2 linked regions of the Tamandua tetradactyla genome follow. The protein of the gene in region 2 purifies or fractionates together with the protein of the main gene of each other region. This does not show direct contact. Links are inferred from orthologs where the notes say so. Each region holds a gene or a part of one and is shown on either strand. Other genes may lie near its edges.

What was found.
Region 1: the proteins of UQCRB (region 2) and COX6B1 purify together in Homo sapiens (affinity purification with mass spectrometry; 3 studies listed by BioGRID and IntAct, counting the BioPlex papers as one, with this or other methods). This does not show direct contact. The link is inferred for Tamandua tetradactyla from reciprocal best matches to the Homo sapiens genes UQCRB and COX6B1.

The regions. Positions count from the first base shown.
Region 1 is NC_135342.1:30,361,707-30,369,514, forward strand, and holds the start of COX6B1 (cytochrome c oxidase subunit 6B1), read right to left. Parts: upstream 3,230-7,808; 5' UTR 3,095-3,229; intron 1,511-3,094; 5' UTR 1,500-1,510; coding exon 1,394-1,499; intron 276-1,393; coding exon 175-275; intron 1-174. Other genes in the region: ETV2 (ETS translocation variant 2), read right to left, coding at 5,667-5,825, 6,090-6,202, 6,571-7,050, 7,318-7,377, 7,603-7,680, 7,793-7,808. UniProt on the Homo sapiens protein: Component of the cytochrome c oxidase, the last enzyme in the mitochondrial electron transport chain which drives oxidative phosphorylation.
Region 2 is NC_135332.1:140,090,542-140,097,917, forward strand, and holds the start of UQCRB (cytochrome b-c1 complex subunit 7), read right to left. Parts: upstream 3,243-7,376; 5' UTR 3,139-3,242; coding exon 3,120-3,138; intron 1-3,119. Other genes in the region: MTERF3 (transcription termination factor 3, mitochondrial), read right to left, coding at 6,009-6,203. UniProt on the Homo sapiens protein: Component of the ubiquinol-cytochrome c oxidoreductase, a multisubunit transmembrane complex that is part of the mitochondrial electron transport chain which drives oxidative phosphorylation.

The sequences.
Region 1 (7,808 bases), on a different chromosome or scaffold from region 2:
AGAGGTGTCAGAGAAGGGAGGCAATTCCGGGAAGGGGAAACAGCAAAAGCCCTGTAGACAATGTTATACCTTGTCTTCCCTTGTCCCTTAGAGATGAGCTCCCGCCAAGTCACCACACTCTCCTCTGCTCGGACCTGCCCCTGCATCCCAAGAGTCCCAACAGGAAGCACCTACCCAGGATATGGGGCAGAGGGACTTATACACACGCCGGTACCATTCACACACGGAGACGTCACCCCCTTTATCAGTCATTGCCTTCTCGCAGCGGTGGAAGTCTGTAAAGAAAGGGGTTCAGGGTCATTTCTGAACACACTTCTGACCAAAACTCACAGCGGGAAATATTTTATACCTCATGATCAGTCTCACACACACACACATATTGAAAATAGAAGTTTCACAAAGAAACAAATCCATTAAAAAGGGCTGAGCACAACTCACTAAACTGATTTTGTAATCCACTAGAGAACTGTTGCCTGACTTGTAAACACTGGGATCAGGAATGATGGGGAAGCATTAGCACACAGATTATGGAGCCCAAAACCAGGGCAAGGGAAGGGGAAAATGATCTTGACGATAAGGTGCTGGGAGTTCCAGAGAGGAAGGCGGGAAAGGAATAATCTGTTTTTTTTTAAAATAGGTAATTCATTAAAATAAAAACAAACAAAAATAAATTAAAAACAAACAAACAAAAAGGCAATTCACTCCTGGGCACATTTCCTAGACAGGAATGCATGCACACAGCATTGGATTACATTTCTATGAATGTTTATAGCAGCCCTATTCATCAAAGCCCCAAACTGAAAGCCACACAAGTGTACATGGAAAGAACTGTGGAATACTGTATACCACAGCATATAAGATTCCTGAACTGAATGAAGAAAGCCAAAAAGAACACAGAGTACTATAAAGTTCACAAAGGGGCAAACTTAAAACAAGGAGGTAAAACCAAAAATGTGATATAATATTGAATATTGGTTACACTTCTAGTAGGGGGAGGGAGTTGTGCTCAAGATGGAGCATGTAGTGGTTGGGGAGTTTAGAGTACTAGCAACATTCTATTTTTCTATCCAGGTTATGGCCGTACAGGGGTTCACTTTAGAATTATTGTTTTAGCTTACATTATGTTTTACATATGTTTCATTACACACACACAAACACACACACACATACACTTAAAAATCATTGTAAGAACCAAAGTTTGTGACTGGTTCAGATGCTGAGGTGATTGTTAATGAGGGCATGGGCCCTCCAGGGTTATGATGTTCAGAATAAAAGTAGCGTCCAGGACCAGTGTTAAGGTGCATGGGTCCTCTAGGAGTAGGTAAGAGGTGAGGGACTTGAGGATTGGGACTAGGGGAAGGTCTGCACTTTCCCATGACCACACCCTTCTTACCCAGGTAGTTCTGCCAGCAGTTCCTGGTCTGGTTCTGGTTGGGGAAGCGGCTGTCAAAAGGGGCAGTTCTGTAGTTCTTAATTTTGGTCTTGATGTCTTCTGCCATGATGCTGACTCCTGGAGGCAAAGTGGGTGGACGTTGGTAAGGGTTGGAGGGCTTAGACATGGGCATCTCAGCCCACCCAGGACCAAATGAGGCCCAAATCCAGAAAATTGGGCTGAGTATAAAGAAGTCATCACTCCCCTCCCCTAACACACACACTCACACACAAGTGAACTGCAGGGCCAATCCATACATCTGGTGTGGAAGTCATAACAGGTTGGGGCAAACCCTTAGCAAAATCAAGTCTCTTATCCCAAATAATACTAGCTACATTACTGAATAAATTTACAGGCCAGATGCTGTTCAACATACTTGACTCCTCTAACAGCCTCTGTATAAGGTCAGAACTATTACTATCCCCATTTCTTGACAAGGAAGGAATCAGACATCTAAGTGACTTCCCAAGGTCATGCCACACACAACTGATGGGGCTGTACTCAGTTACTGGACTACCATACACTGCAGAGGTTCTTAATCTTTTTGGTGCTATGAACTGCTCTGGGGTTTGATTAATCCTACAAACCGCATTCTCAGAATATGTTTAAATGCATTAAAAACTGCACTGGGTCAAAAAGAAAACCAGTTATATCTAGCTGTAGATTTATTAACTGCCATAGTATTGATTTAACCACAAGTAAAACTATTTTGTGATATCTGCAACAACTAATGTGATATAAGAACATCTGTGATTTCAAATGGTGACAAAAGTCACAGGTGCCAGAAGCATCACAGCAGTAATAACCATGCTTCTGAGATTGTTGCCTCCATTCCAAAGGGAAGGAAATGGTACATTTCAATTGGAGGCCAGCAAAAACAGATATAATTTTTTCCCCATTTAACCACTAGCACTCCTTGAAACCTATTAGTTCTGTGGACGTAGGGTTAAAATTTGATATTATGTCTCTAAAAAAGGGACACACAGTAGCCATGGAACCTATGAGAAATGGCCTCTGTATTCCAGAAATTCAAGGAGTCATGGACTACATAGAGGTGCATCGGCCGGTGTCCAATTCAAGCGGCCCAAGGCAGTGTTGGGGCTCTGGTAGCACTAAACAGTCCTTCCGGAGAGGGAGGACTATAAAACACCAGCCGCTGGGACAGAGTCGTCTAAAGAGCTTCGGGTGATATCTCGACCCAATATGTGGGGGTGTTGGTGGATCCGGAACGACGCTGCGGTCCCTCCAACGTGCAAGGGGGAAGCGGGATCAGCCACCAGGGAGTCAAGCTGCGGCTCAAACAAAACCCCGGGGGTCACGCCCGCGGCTTGGTGATTAAGAGCAATGCAGTCCAAATTAATGGGTCTAAACCCTAGTAGCTACGGCCTCGACTAAGAAGCTTATTATCTCTCAGCCTCAGTCAGGGTTGGGGGTAAGATTAAAGAATCAATCTAACTAAATCGCCTGGAAGGTTGCTGGGCAATAAGGAAGAACTCCACAAACGTTAGTTGTTATTATTAACAGAACAACCAAGGCCCGGGGCTGGCACACTGGGATGTAGGACGCCACCAGCTGGAACCCTCATCCCGTTCTCGGGGAAGTGGGGTTCGGTTCCCCAAGCCCCCATACTAGGGTCCCAGGTATCTGAGCCCCCACACTCACCTAGCAGCGCCTCTGAAGCTGCTCGCTGCTCAATGTGACCCTCAGCCCAAACGTCTGTCTAGGACCGGAAGCGGAATTAAGACTGGCCGGAAGTGCGGCGAAGCCGGGTACTGGGTAGTCTACAGCGCGCCTACAGCGCGTATGGGTAGCCGAGTCCCGGAAGTCACTCTGGGCCCGCCCATCCTTCGAACTCCGACATCCCATTGGGCTTTGAAATGCATGTTTAACATCACTACCGGGACAAAAGAGAGTTCGTGTGGCTCTTCAGATAACTAGGAGCAGCAGTTGGGGACGCCAAATTACAGGCTCTCTTCACCTTGACTGTATCAGGGGGAAAGATTTCTGAGTCCCGGGACTGGCTGGAGAGAAGACTGTCTCGGGGAGAATGTCCCAGAAGAGGTGCTTTTATTCATGCAAGAAATATTTATTGAGCGTTTATCCTGAGCCAGACTCTTGTGTAAGTTTTGGGGATACATTATTGTACAAAATACAAAACCCCCATCCTTATTATGATTGTTACGGGGTTGATTGTCATACCACGACAATCAACGAACTAATCGCTTGAAACGAATTAATCTCTTTCCTGGGGTCATTGACTGGATTGTCCAGACCCTACATTCCCTTCCCAAATCTAATCTCGTTCACTCTGCCTTAAAATATGTATCTAGAGTCCTCCCCTGCCAAATTTGGTTCACGCCACCGTCAACTCCATCATGGACTATTGCAGTAGTCTCTGCCTGGCCTTCTGGCTTCTCTGCTGACCTCCACATTTTGTCTAACCAGCCACAAGAACTCTGTTGACACCTGTGTCATATTACATCCCTCCTCAGTCCAGAATTTACCCCGGCTGCTGGTCTGACTCCGAGCAAAAGCTAAAGTCCTTACAAATGGCCTACACAATCTACTTGCCTCATCCCCTCGCCCCCAATATTCTCATCTACCCTTCTCACTGCACTAGCCACATTGACTTTGCAGTTTCTTAAACGTACAGGCTAGCTTCCCCCCAAGGGCCTTTGCACTTGCTGTTTCTTTGGCTTAGAATGCTGTTCCTGCAGATGGCTCCCTCCCTTATCTCCTTTGCTCAAATGTCTCTGAGAGTCTTTCTCAGATTTCCCTTCCCTACTTTATTGTTACACAGCACTTATCTCTTCGTGTATTATAGTACTTACTATAGCCTTCCTTTTTTTTAATTTTTTTTAAATGTTTACCTCTTATTTATCTCTCTCATTAGGATAGAAGCACCATAAAGGAGCTATTTTTGTCTGTCTTATTCACCATTGTGACTCCAGCACCTACAACAATGCTTGGCACATAGAATGTGCTCTATAAATTAATGAATGCATTTCTTGTATGAATGAAGGGGGAATCTGAGAGCTGGGAGAAGGAGTTGTGAAAGCACACTGCTTTTCTCCCTCCTCTCAGCGTGGCTTCTAAGCTTCCCACATACTGTCTTGGGTGCAGTGTCCAGGTCTAACTAGGTCAGGGGCCTCTCATACATTCTGTGTTTATCAATGTTGAAATTATTTGTGAACCTACCTGTTCACATGTCTGCATCCACCCACCCACCACCACCTTTCAATGAAATCTTCCTAAAGCTGAAACTACTCCTCTATTTAACTCCTCCATGGCTTTAGATCCTATGTGAGCTGGCCCATATTCCCAAGCCACATTCCCAATTCCTTGAACAGTAAGAACAGTGCTATGAGATCTTCACCTGCAGGCCTTTGTTCATGCTGTTCTCCCTGCCTGGAACACTCTTTAATTAGCTGACTTCTCAGATCAGCGGACTCCCCTATCTGGACCCCTCCCCCACATTCCAGGTCAAGTTTTTCTTTTTAGGCTCCCTCAACCCCCTGGGGTTCCCCATCCCTGCCCTGACCAATCTGGATTGCCCCTGTCTGGCAATGGTTTTATCTCCACCTTGGACTGTGAGCTCCCTGAGGGCAGGTCTCTGGGCTGCCATGACCATTGCTGTATCCCAGCACTGTCCACAGTAGGGGAACATAGTAGGCTTTCTTTCAGGACTGGATCTGAGTCCTCAGTGGTTCCCAGAATGGGGTAGTACCCAGTAGGGTCTCCTAGGTCCGAGTTCTATGTTCCCTAGTCTGGGTTGGGGAAACAGATTAGGTGGTGTGGAGGGACAAGCACCAGGTCTAATTTCTTCATGGTCCCCAGCACTGAGAGGGCACACTAAGCTCTTTTTGGAGTTCTGAGTCTTAGTCCTCTCTATGCCCTCTCTAGGGCCAACACAGTTAGTGATTGTGTCTGATTCCTTTACCTGTCCCAACACAGGGCAGGCACACAGTAGGCCCTAGAGGCACTGGATCTAATTCCCTTGTAGGTCACATCACAGTGTGGGCACACAATTGGCCCCCTAAAAGGCTGGGTCTGTTTTGCTCACCCTTGTTTCTCGATGGCCCAGCAGCGGGTGTGGTGGTGCACACGTAGGTACCCCAGCGGGGGCGGGTCTGTTCAGTGTCAGTGGGAAGAACACAGATGAGAACGCGCTACAAGGCTTGATGGGATATTTTTTATTTGGTCACAGCTCTCTGTCCGCCTTAGTGCGGTCCCGCTAGGCCAAGCCGGGCACGCAGCCTCCGAAACGGTACGTGTACTTGCGCCCACCGCTCTTTCGCACGATGTCGCGGCGGTAGTAGTAGCGCAGGCCGCGACTTAGCTTTTCATAATTCATTCCGGGTTTCCTCTTGCGCTCGCCCCAGAGACGCGCCACCTGGGACGGAGGCGGGGCTGAGTCAGAAAGGGCAGGAAAGGGGGCGGGACCTAGTGATTGGGTAGGAGGAGCGGGGCCAGGATACAGAAAACACCCCTGACAAGGATGGGGTCGAAGCTCCCGATGAGGCTGGCAGAGGGTTGGACGGGACCTAGCCCAGGAGACGCTGGGTGCGGGGCCAAGACTAGGTAGGGTGAATGGAACTGCAGGATTGAGCAAGACGAGGGTAGAGCCGGACCGACCAGGGCTGGAGAGCGACCGCACCTCTTTGGGGTCGCAAAGCTGGAATTCGCGACTGTTCCCCGTCCAGCGGATGCAGCTGCTGCGCGACCCATCGCGGAGCAGCTCTAGGAGAAACTGCCACAGCTGAATGGGACCTGAGGGATGGGAGGCGGGTGAGAGGTTTTCTGGCCCCAGTCCACGCCACTTGGGTGACCCAGGAGTCCCCTCTTTGATGGGGACTCCAAGAGTGCCTCGAGGACCCAGGCTTCGGGGCCCTCTTTTCTTTCACAAAATCCAGTAGCCTGTGTGCCATCCCCTCGCTCTCTAGAAGCCTACCAGTGTCTGACAGCCTTCTCCTCCCTCAGGACCCAGACCTGAAAACCACCATCCCCTCTTCTCTCCTGCACTGAGGTACTTCAGCCCCGCCCCCCTCGCTACCAGTTTTCCCGGTCCCGCCCCCTACGCCCCAAAGTTAGGTTATCTCTAGACTCCCTGCAGGACACAGTCTTCGCGGTCCTCTCACCTCGGTGGTTAGTTTTGGGGTAACAAGTTAATGTGGGACGGTCCGACTGCTGGCTTTGCTCGGAGGAAATGCAGTCTGAACTCTGGTGCCTCTGGGAAGAGGCCATGCAAGCCGTCTGCGGTCCCAGGTCCCAGGAAGTGGTACAGTCCGAGCCCTCAGGCCCGTCGCACGAAATGGTATAGTCCACGCGCGACTCCCTACCGAGGCCCTCATCCCAGTAGGTGGCGGCATCGGGGCCGACAGAACATCGGGGCCAGCTGGGGATGCTCCCGGCCGTGTGGGCGTGAGACCAAGACGCTGCCCCTGCCGCCAAGGTGCTCCTGTCTAGGCCCGCCGGCCCTTCAGAGCCCGCGAAGTGGGAGGTGACGGGGTCCGGAGGGGCGATGCCCAGGATCTGGGAGACGGGGCTCCGAGGGTCAGCGCCGAGACGCGCCAGGTCGGTCCTGTCTCCTGACCAGGCAAGAGCCGGCAGGGTGGGCTCTGTGTGGAGGAACACACCCCAAGTGAGGGGACTTTAGATGTCCAGGCCCCGGATCCCTTGGGGCTTCTTGGATTCTAAGCTCCAAGCCTCGGTCCCCGCTCCCGATTCCTTGGGGTGGTGGAGGCCGTTACCCTGATTCAGGCTGTGCTACTTTGAGGACACAGGCATCCATAGTCCCAGCCCTGTTCCCCCTTAAAGATCGGGGAAGTTAAGCTTGCAGGCCCAGTGCTTCAGGACCGCCATCCCCCACCTCTCCAAACACTCACCAGTTGCCCATGTAGTGTCTGTTTGTGGTAACGCGGAGCCCCAGTCCAACTGTGGGAACCCTGTCAGGGATAAGATGGTGGGGAAGGTGTGAGCAATGACTAGGGACTAACCGCCCCCCACCCAGGAATTAGTGCTCCAGGACCCACTTACTCAGAACTAGGACTCTGAGACCCCTCCACCTTCAACCTCAGGAGTCCAAGCATGCAGCCTCTTTCCCACTCAGACCCAGGAGCCCAGCTTCCCCCCTTTCTTCCCAGTACTCAGGGGGCCCAGCCTGAAGCTACCTTTCCAGCATGTCTCCACTGTCAGCCTGTCCCCTTGGAGTGCCAGTTCAGGGAAATAGAAGCCAAGTTCAGCTCCTGCTGCAGGCAATGAGGAAGTTAGGTTTAGGTCAGGTGTCAACAGACCCCACCACAGGACCCCATCTAGGCACCCTTTCCACACACTGTCTCAGCCCCAGCAACTTATGCAGACCTGAGATCCTGTTCCC
Region 2 (7,376 bases):
AATGAAAGGAGAATGCACAGAGTGCTAAGGAAGCCAAAGATAAGGGGAATGGCATCCAGGGCAGGGGCAGCATTAGGGCTAGGGAAGGCTTAGGCACATGATGTCTGAGGTAGGTCTTAAAAGAATGGGTAGGAGTTACTCAGACAAAGGAGGGAGGTGGAGGTAGGAGAAAGCAGTATCATCAGAGGAGCATACACTCTGGGGTCAAACTGTCTGTCTTCATATATAGGATCCTGAAGCTAGTTACCTCAAATGTAGGCTCCTAAAGCTAGTTACCTAACTTCTCTGTATCTGTTTTTCCATCTCTAAACTGTGGTCAATACCAATTTTTATCTCCCAGAAACTGCTTCAGAGGAATAAACAAGTTAATACAGTATTATATTATTTTATTTAAATGAGTTATTTAAAGACTCCTATATTAGTTATATATTAACATATCAATATTATAAATCACATGTATATTTTTAAACTTTTTAATTGTGAAATATAACATATATATAAAGCAGCAATAAATTTCCAAGTATGTTTTAACAAGTAGTTATAGAACTAGATTTTAAAGTTTGGTATGGGTTACAGTTCCATGATGTTTCATTTTTTCTTTTAGTTGCTCCAAGACCAAAAGAAATATCTATATAATGATTCAACTGTCATGCTCATTTGTTAAATCCTATCTTCTCTTTTACTCGCCTTCTCTCTCTTTTTTTTTTTGTGTGAAAAATAACGCACAAAAAAGTAGTAAATTTCAAAGTACATCATAGCAATTGGTTGTAGAACAGATTTCAAGTTTTGGTATGGGTTATGATTCCACAATTTTAGGTTTTCACTTCTAGCTGCTCTAAGATACTAGAGCCTAAAAGAAATAACACGATTCAGCACTCATACTCATTTGTTAAACCCTATATTTTCTGCATAACTCTATCATCACCTTTGATCTTTCTCCCACTCTTTAGGGGTATTTAGGCTACACCGATTCTAACTTTTTCATATTGGAAGGGGCTGTCGATAATATGGGATAGGGGGATAAACTAGTTGATGTTCTGGAAAGGCTGGCCCCTCTGCTTTTCATGACCCATTTGGAGGTTGTCCGTTCCTGGAAAGTTACCCTAGTACATAGAACCTCTGTAGAATCTTATATAATGCCATAGGTATTCTTTAGGATTGGCAGGAATGGTTTTGTTTGGGGTTCGGCAAGTTGTGATAGGTAGCAATATCTAGGGGAAGCCTGTGTAAGAGTGACCTCCAGAGTAGCCTCTCAACTCTATTTGAACTCTCTTAGCCACTGGTATCATATCTGTTAGACTTCTTTCCCCTTTTTTGGGTCAGTATGGAATTGCTGATTCCACAGTGCCAGGGCCAGGCTCATCCTAGGGGTCATCTCCCACGCCGCCAGGGAGACTTTCATTCCTGGATGTCATGTCCCATGTTGCGGGGAGGTCAATAGTTTCACTTGTCAGAGTTGGGCTTAGAGAGAGAGAGGCCACATCTGAGCAATGAGAGGTTCTCCAGAAATGACTTTCAGGCATACCTATGGGGTAGGCTAAGCTTCTCTGCTACATACATAAGCTACACAAGAGCTAGCCAGGGCTTGGCCTATTGATTTGGGTGTCCTTAACGTTTGATACAGTATCTACAGTTTTCCTGGAAATCACATATATATTACAGGGACTAAATGAATAAATATTTAATGAGATTCTTAGAAAAGTGACTGGTGATTTATAAGCTTTATTATGAGGGGAAGATGAAAGTATAAGCAAAGCTGAGAGACAGCATTCTTTGTAAGGGAAGCTACATGCAGTTAAATATAGTGGAAGAAGGAATGAATAAACTCTACCACATATTCAGATTGGAGAAGGATGAATTTCCTAATACTTCTTACTTTAACACAAACTTATTTAGGTAGCAAAAGTTAATGGATTAATGGTGCTACTATCAGAATGCTTTTAAAAACTCGAGTGGTTTATACCTTTATTCTATGAATTAAGTATTAGGAATGCACTTTGCCTTCCAAATTAGACATATTTACTAGTGGTAATAATATTTACTGAGCGCTTATATGTCAGCTATTATTCTATTTGCCTTATCTCCATGAGCTCAATTTACAACACGTCTGCGTTGCAGAAGAGGAAGCAACTTCTGCAACTTTATAGAACTTACCCTACCTAATGTCAGAGGTAGCTAGTGGAAATCAGTGCTATCTCACTTCAAGAATGCCTTCGACTTCAGTTGTCAAATTAATGAAATACTGAATTCTTAAACGTCTCTCCACCCCCACCCCACCAGCTCAAAAAAATAACGGATTTTTTCGTCAATCTTATGTTTCCTAAAAGCATCACAAGTATTGGGGAACGGGAAGGTAGGGAGCAATATTTTTTCTTAAAAACTAGTCCAATTTAAACTGCGAAAAAGGTAGAGATCTACCAAACAAAACAAAACAAAAAAACCAAGCAGAAAAAAACCGGCGTGACGTCCACGCGGTTTTAAATATTAGTGCAATTTCTTCGTTCTATCCCATAATAAATGGATTTGTTTTCGTTCTGAAATAAAAAAAATTCCTCAAATCTACAAATTCAATTACTGTTCCAGATAACCCTTGATCTACTGACACTAACTCCCAGGGTAAGAAGCACCCCCACCCTTATTCCACCCTATTTCCTCAATCACTTTGCCAGTTATTTCCTCAGCGTAAATGGAAAACTAATCGTATCGCTGGTAAAAGAACTTCACGAGCTAATGCATATGAAAGCGCTTGGCTCCACAGTAAGCACTTAGTGCATTTTGGTTGATACTTAACCACTAATGATCTCCTTGGGCGCCTGAACACTTTACGGGGTCCGGAATCACATTCCGGAAAAATAATGCGGACTGCCGAGCACCGCCAGCTGGAAGGAAGGCCGGGGCTATCGGAGACACCGCGGGCACCTTCACGAACAGAATGTTCGTTTACCAACTTTGCGCAAGGCAGGCCCGGGGACAGCTGGGGCGGGGGGAAAAACGTCTTTTGCCTGGGCCAGAGCCGCCACCCTCCCTTACGTTACAAACCTAGCCACACAGAGTGAGCAAAGGAAGAGGAATAAAAGGTAGACCCGGGGGATAATCGCCAGACAGGACGAGACACTTACCAGCAGGGCGGCCCGCCATTTTGACCCCAGAGTAAAGCGTTGCCTACTGGGTAAGTCCTAGAAGACGTGCCGGACCCAGTGCGCAGGCGCCTTAGCGGAGCCAAGCGAGAGAAAGGGTGGCCACCGCCGGAAGACGCTCGCGCAGGCGCAGCGCTGACGGCCGATGTTAGGGACGCTGGGGTTAAGCTAACGGAATCGGTCAGACGTTTCGTCCAGTTTCCCAAGAAACATTACTTATGATATGGAAGAAAGAATAGTAGGCAAGCAGTTAGGAGAACTAGGGTTAGCCCGGATTCTGTTACTGTTTAGCTGTAAGAGCTTTTTTTTTTGGCAATGTTAAATTTGAGCCCTTTGTGCCAAGTTAAAGTGTTGTGCGTTTTACGGTCATGTTCTCATCTAATTCTTCCCCCAAATTTTTGAGATAAATACACTGATCCCCATTGTAGAGTGAGAAAACTGAGGCTCAGAAAGGTTGGACAAATTTTGTTCAAGGGCATGGGGCTAGGAAGTGTTCAAATTCAAGACTCCTTGACTACAAGTCACAGGCTACACTATTAACCATAAAAGATACTAAACCTCTCTTGCCTTCATTTTCTCCAGCTGAACAATATACATCACACCACTTTAGGGGAAGATTAGGGTCAGAAAAAAATGTCAATATTAAGTCGAAGCTATACTGCAGAATTTGTATATTACTATAGATACAACAGGAACAAGTACATGGATTTATCCATTTGAAAGGTCTCAGACCAACTTCTTAAGTCTAAGGTATAAATGCCTAGAAATAGAAAACAATTGAGGGGATTAGTATGACTGATAAGTTGAATCTCTTACTAGTGGCTTTCTACCATTACCTACCAATACTGTTTTTTCGAGTCTTAAGCTGAAACCTGGGACAGTACAGGATTGTCTCACTGTAAAGTCAAGTTAGATTTAATGGTCTTAGTCCCATTCCAGTTCTAAAACCCCATCTGCTGCCTTTTGTTTCTTCTGACTCCATGCTGCGTCATTTTCTTGTATAAGTTTTCTATGCAGCACTAAAAATGGACGAATGAGTGCTCCCAGACTACACTGGCCAGTGAAATCTTAAAGATGTGAAGAAATGCAATATATTTGTACGCTGGCACATTGCATCACAAAGGGCATACTCAATAAACCTTTCTTCCTTCCTCTTCCACCTTTAAATTTCAGCTTGCTGGCTGCAGGGTGAAGAAGATGCCAAGAGAAGAAAGTTCTTATGTCAAGGCATGAAGTAACAGGACTATCATAAAATCGAGCTCCTACAGGGAAAGCCTGGGTGTTTACTGGTAGTCATTAATACTAGCACAGAATATTTTTGGTTTTTCTCCCTCCTGGCAAATGGTAGGATTGCACTTCCCTTCCCCTTCAAGTTAGGCATGTGGTTAACCTTGGCTAGGAAATACATTTTTAAGAGCAATTCTCCATTTCCCTTTCCCCTTCTATGGACTTGCAATAGTGTCAGAAATTGTGGCAATACTCCTGAAAATGACAATACTCTATCAACCTCTATCACTACATGATGTGGAGCAGAGCCCCTTGTGGTTCCAACATGGATAAGTATGATTGAGAGAGAAACTTTTGCAGTTTCAAATAATTTGAGGTTTTAGGATTGTTCATTATAGTAGCATACTTAGCCTATCTGAGTGGGTTGAGACGAAATGAAGTTCTCGGCCTCAAAGACCAGGCAGGACCGTGGCCTCACAGCTGTACCTCATCCTTGTTTCCTTTGCTTGTTGATCTCATTCATTAGACAATTCCATGAAGCTGCGTATCTCTGCCACACTCACCAGTGTGTTTAGGAACACAAAGGTTTGTTGAGACAATGAATACAATATGTAACAGGAGGGCCACTATACTTGGCCCTGATCAATTACAAATTTAGTTACTCATGAGGTTTCAGGACATACAGCACGCCACAAAACACTGATGAACACCAACTATCCCCAAAGTTAGTGGCTTTAAGCACTTTATTTCTTCCAGTTCTGTCTGGTGCTTAATTGGTATGGCTGAAATAGCTGGGGTTTGGTTAGACTGCTCTCTTCATGACATTTCCCTTCTGTCTGGTGCTTCATTGATACAAATGAAATAGCTGGGGTTTGGTTTGGTGGCTCTCTCTACGTCACATCTCTTAGTAACCAGACCCAAGAAAATGTTGCAAGATGACAAGCTCCAGTGTGCAAGTGTATATCAAGTTTCAATTCATGCTGTGTTTTTGCATGTTGGCAATAAGTAAAAAGGTTTATTATGGTCTTTTTACTATGTCTCATTGCCCTCTCCATACCTTCGAACTTTACTTCCCTCCCTATCCCTTTTCCTTTGTTAATTCTCAGTAGTCAACTTTGCACAGCTTCTGAATATGCACACTCAGGGAGATGAATAACACTGTAGAAAACCCAAAATTGAATAAGTTTCGTAGCATTGTCTACATTAAATAGATGTTAGATGAATAATGTACTATACTTCAGATATAACAACTTAAAAAACAAAGTGTGATGAAACCACTTTAAATGACCTGTGAATGAAAGAGTGGGAAAGTCTCCAGTGTTCTTGTCTTCACCAGAACTCTCTATCAGAGTGACAGGAAAATCAGTGACAGAGCACCAGCCTCAACTAATTCTTAGTAAACTTTCTCTAAGCTTGCTATATTTTCAGTTCACCCTTTCCTGAGAAGGAAGGAAATGATTGTGTCAGAGAAGAATTTATGTCACTAAGAACTTATAAGAAAATCTACCAGAAGTGTACTCAAATTTATAATATCAAGCCACTGTTTCCAATATCAATGGAGACCTGAGGAATTTATTTAAAATAGATTTATTTATTCATATGTACATTCATTTTACATTATTATATTTTAACAGTCATCAAAAACTAAAGAGTTTTTAAGAATTTTTCAAAGTCCTGTACTGAAGCTTTGGCAATCTCTTGACAGAATATTTCATCGGGAATAGATACTAATTTGTCCAAAGAGATGTAGTTAGGTTTTACTGGATCATACTGTGCTCTTCCCAAATAGGTAAGAAACAAATGTCTTTCTTTGACTTTAAGCAGCTTTGTATTAAATACCTAGAAAATAAAAAAAAAGTTTTTTAAAAACACTGTGCCCTGAAAGATGAAAAATTAAAACTTACTTGGTTAAAAATTTTAATAGGTTAATATTTATAAAGTATTGAATACATGCTCAGTAAATATCATAAATGCTACAGGATTTTAATCCTATTGCTTCTGCTAAGAAACAGTTAAAAGGGACTCAAAACAATTATAAAATAAAGTCAAAGAACAACAACTTTTCCAGGAGAAAAGAGAGAATTTGTTAGTCTTAACAGCAAAGCTACAGGTTCCACTCAGACCTACTTACTTAATCAGAAACTTTGGGAGTGGGGTGCAGAAAACTGTTTTAACACGCCCTCCAGATGATTCTGATGTTTGCCAAGTTTGAGAATCATAAAATATCAAGGTCTACAGCATCAAACATAAGAGTTCACAATCTGTGAAGCTTCCCTATATGTGTATCTTTTTTTTTTTAATTTAAATTCCTGCTGTTATTTCTGTCCAGAATAAAAATGAAATGAATATAGTTTCTTTAAGGAGCAACTAGGGAAAGTATGTCTTACAGCCAACCCTGTAATCAAAACTCTCCAAAAATAGCGGTGGCAACTTTAAAAAGGAATCAGAAACAGGCTAAGTCCCTGTAGTCACTGCAAAAAAAAAGGGTGGATGGGAGATCTAGCCAGGCTTGAGATAGAGCCCTGAAGCTTGAGAGAGATCACCAAGACTTGTTAAGGCCCAAATGAACCACAGTTGGTATTATGTCTAAAATTCTTCTCTTGGCTATATTATGACACATTGGGAACACTTCATGGCATATAACTTCCAGGACTCTTTCTCTTTGTTCAAATGCAAACAAAACAGTAACACACCACTTCAAAAGGACATTATGAAACACAACTGCTGAAAACTAAATGCTCTGAAAACAGTGATTAAAAAATATACAGTATGCTTATTTAATATGGGGTTGACTTGTTTTTGGAACAAGACACCCCCTTTCTGTCCCTGCAAAAACAAATTACACGTTATTCTGCCTTTATTTTGGTCATTAAATTCTCGATGCCACACTGTTACTGCTCACAATATAAAAAGCAAAAAGGACATAGATGGAATTTTTTCTAAGTATGGCTCCTATGCAGACTCGTGGTCTACAAAATTATCATTCAATACAACATATAAATTCACATATGA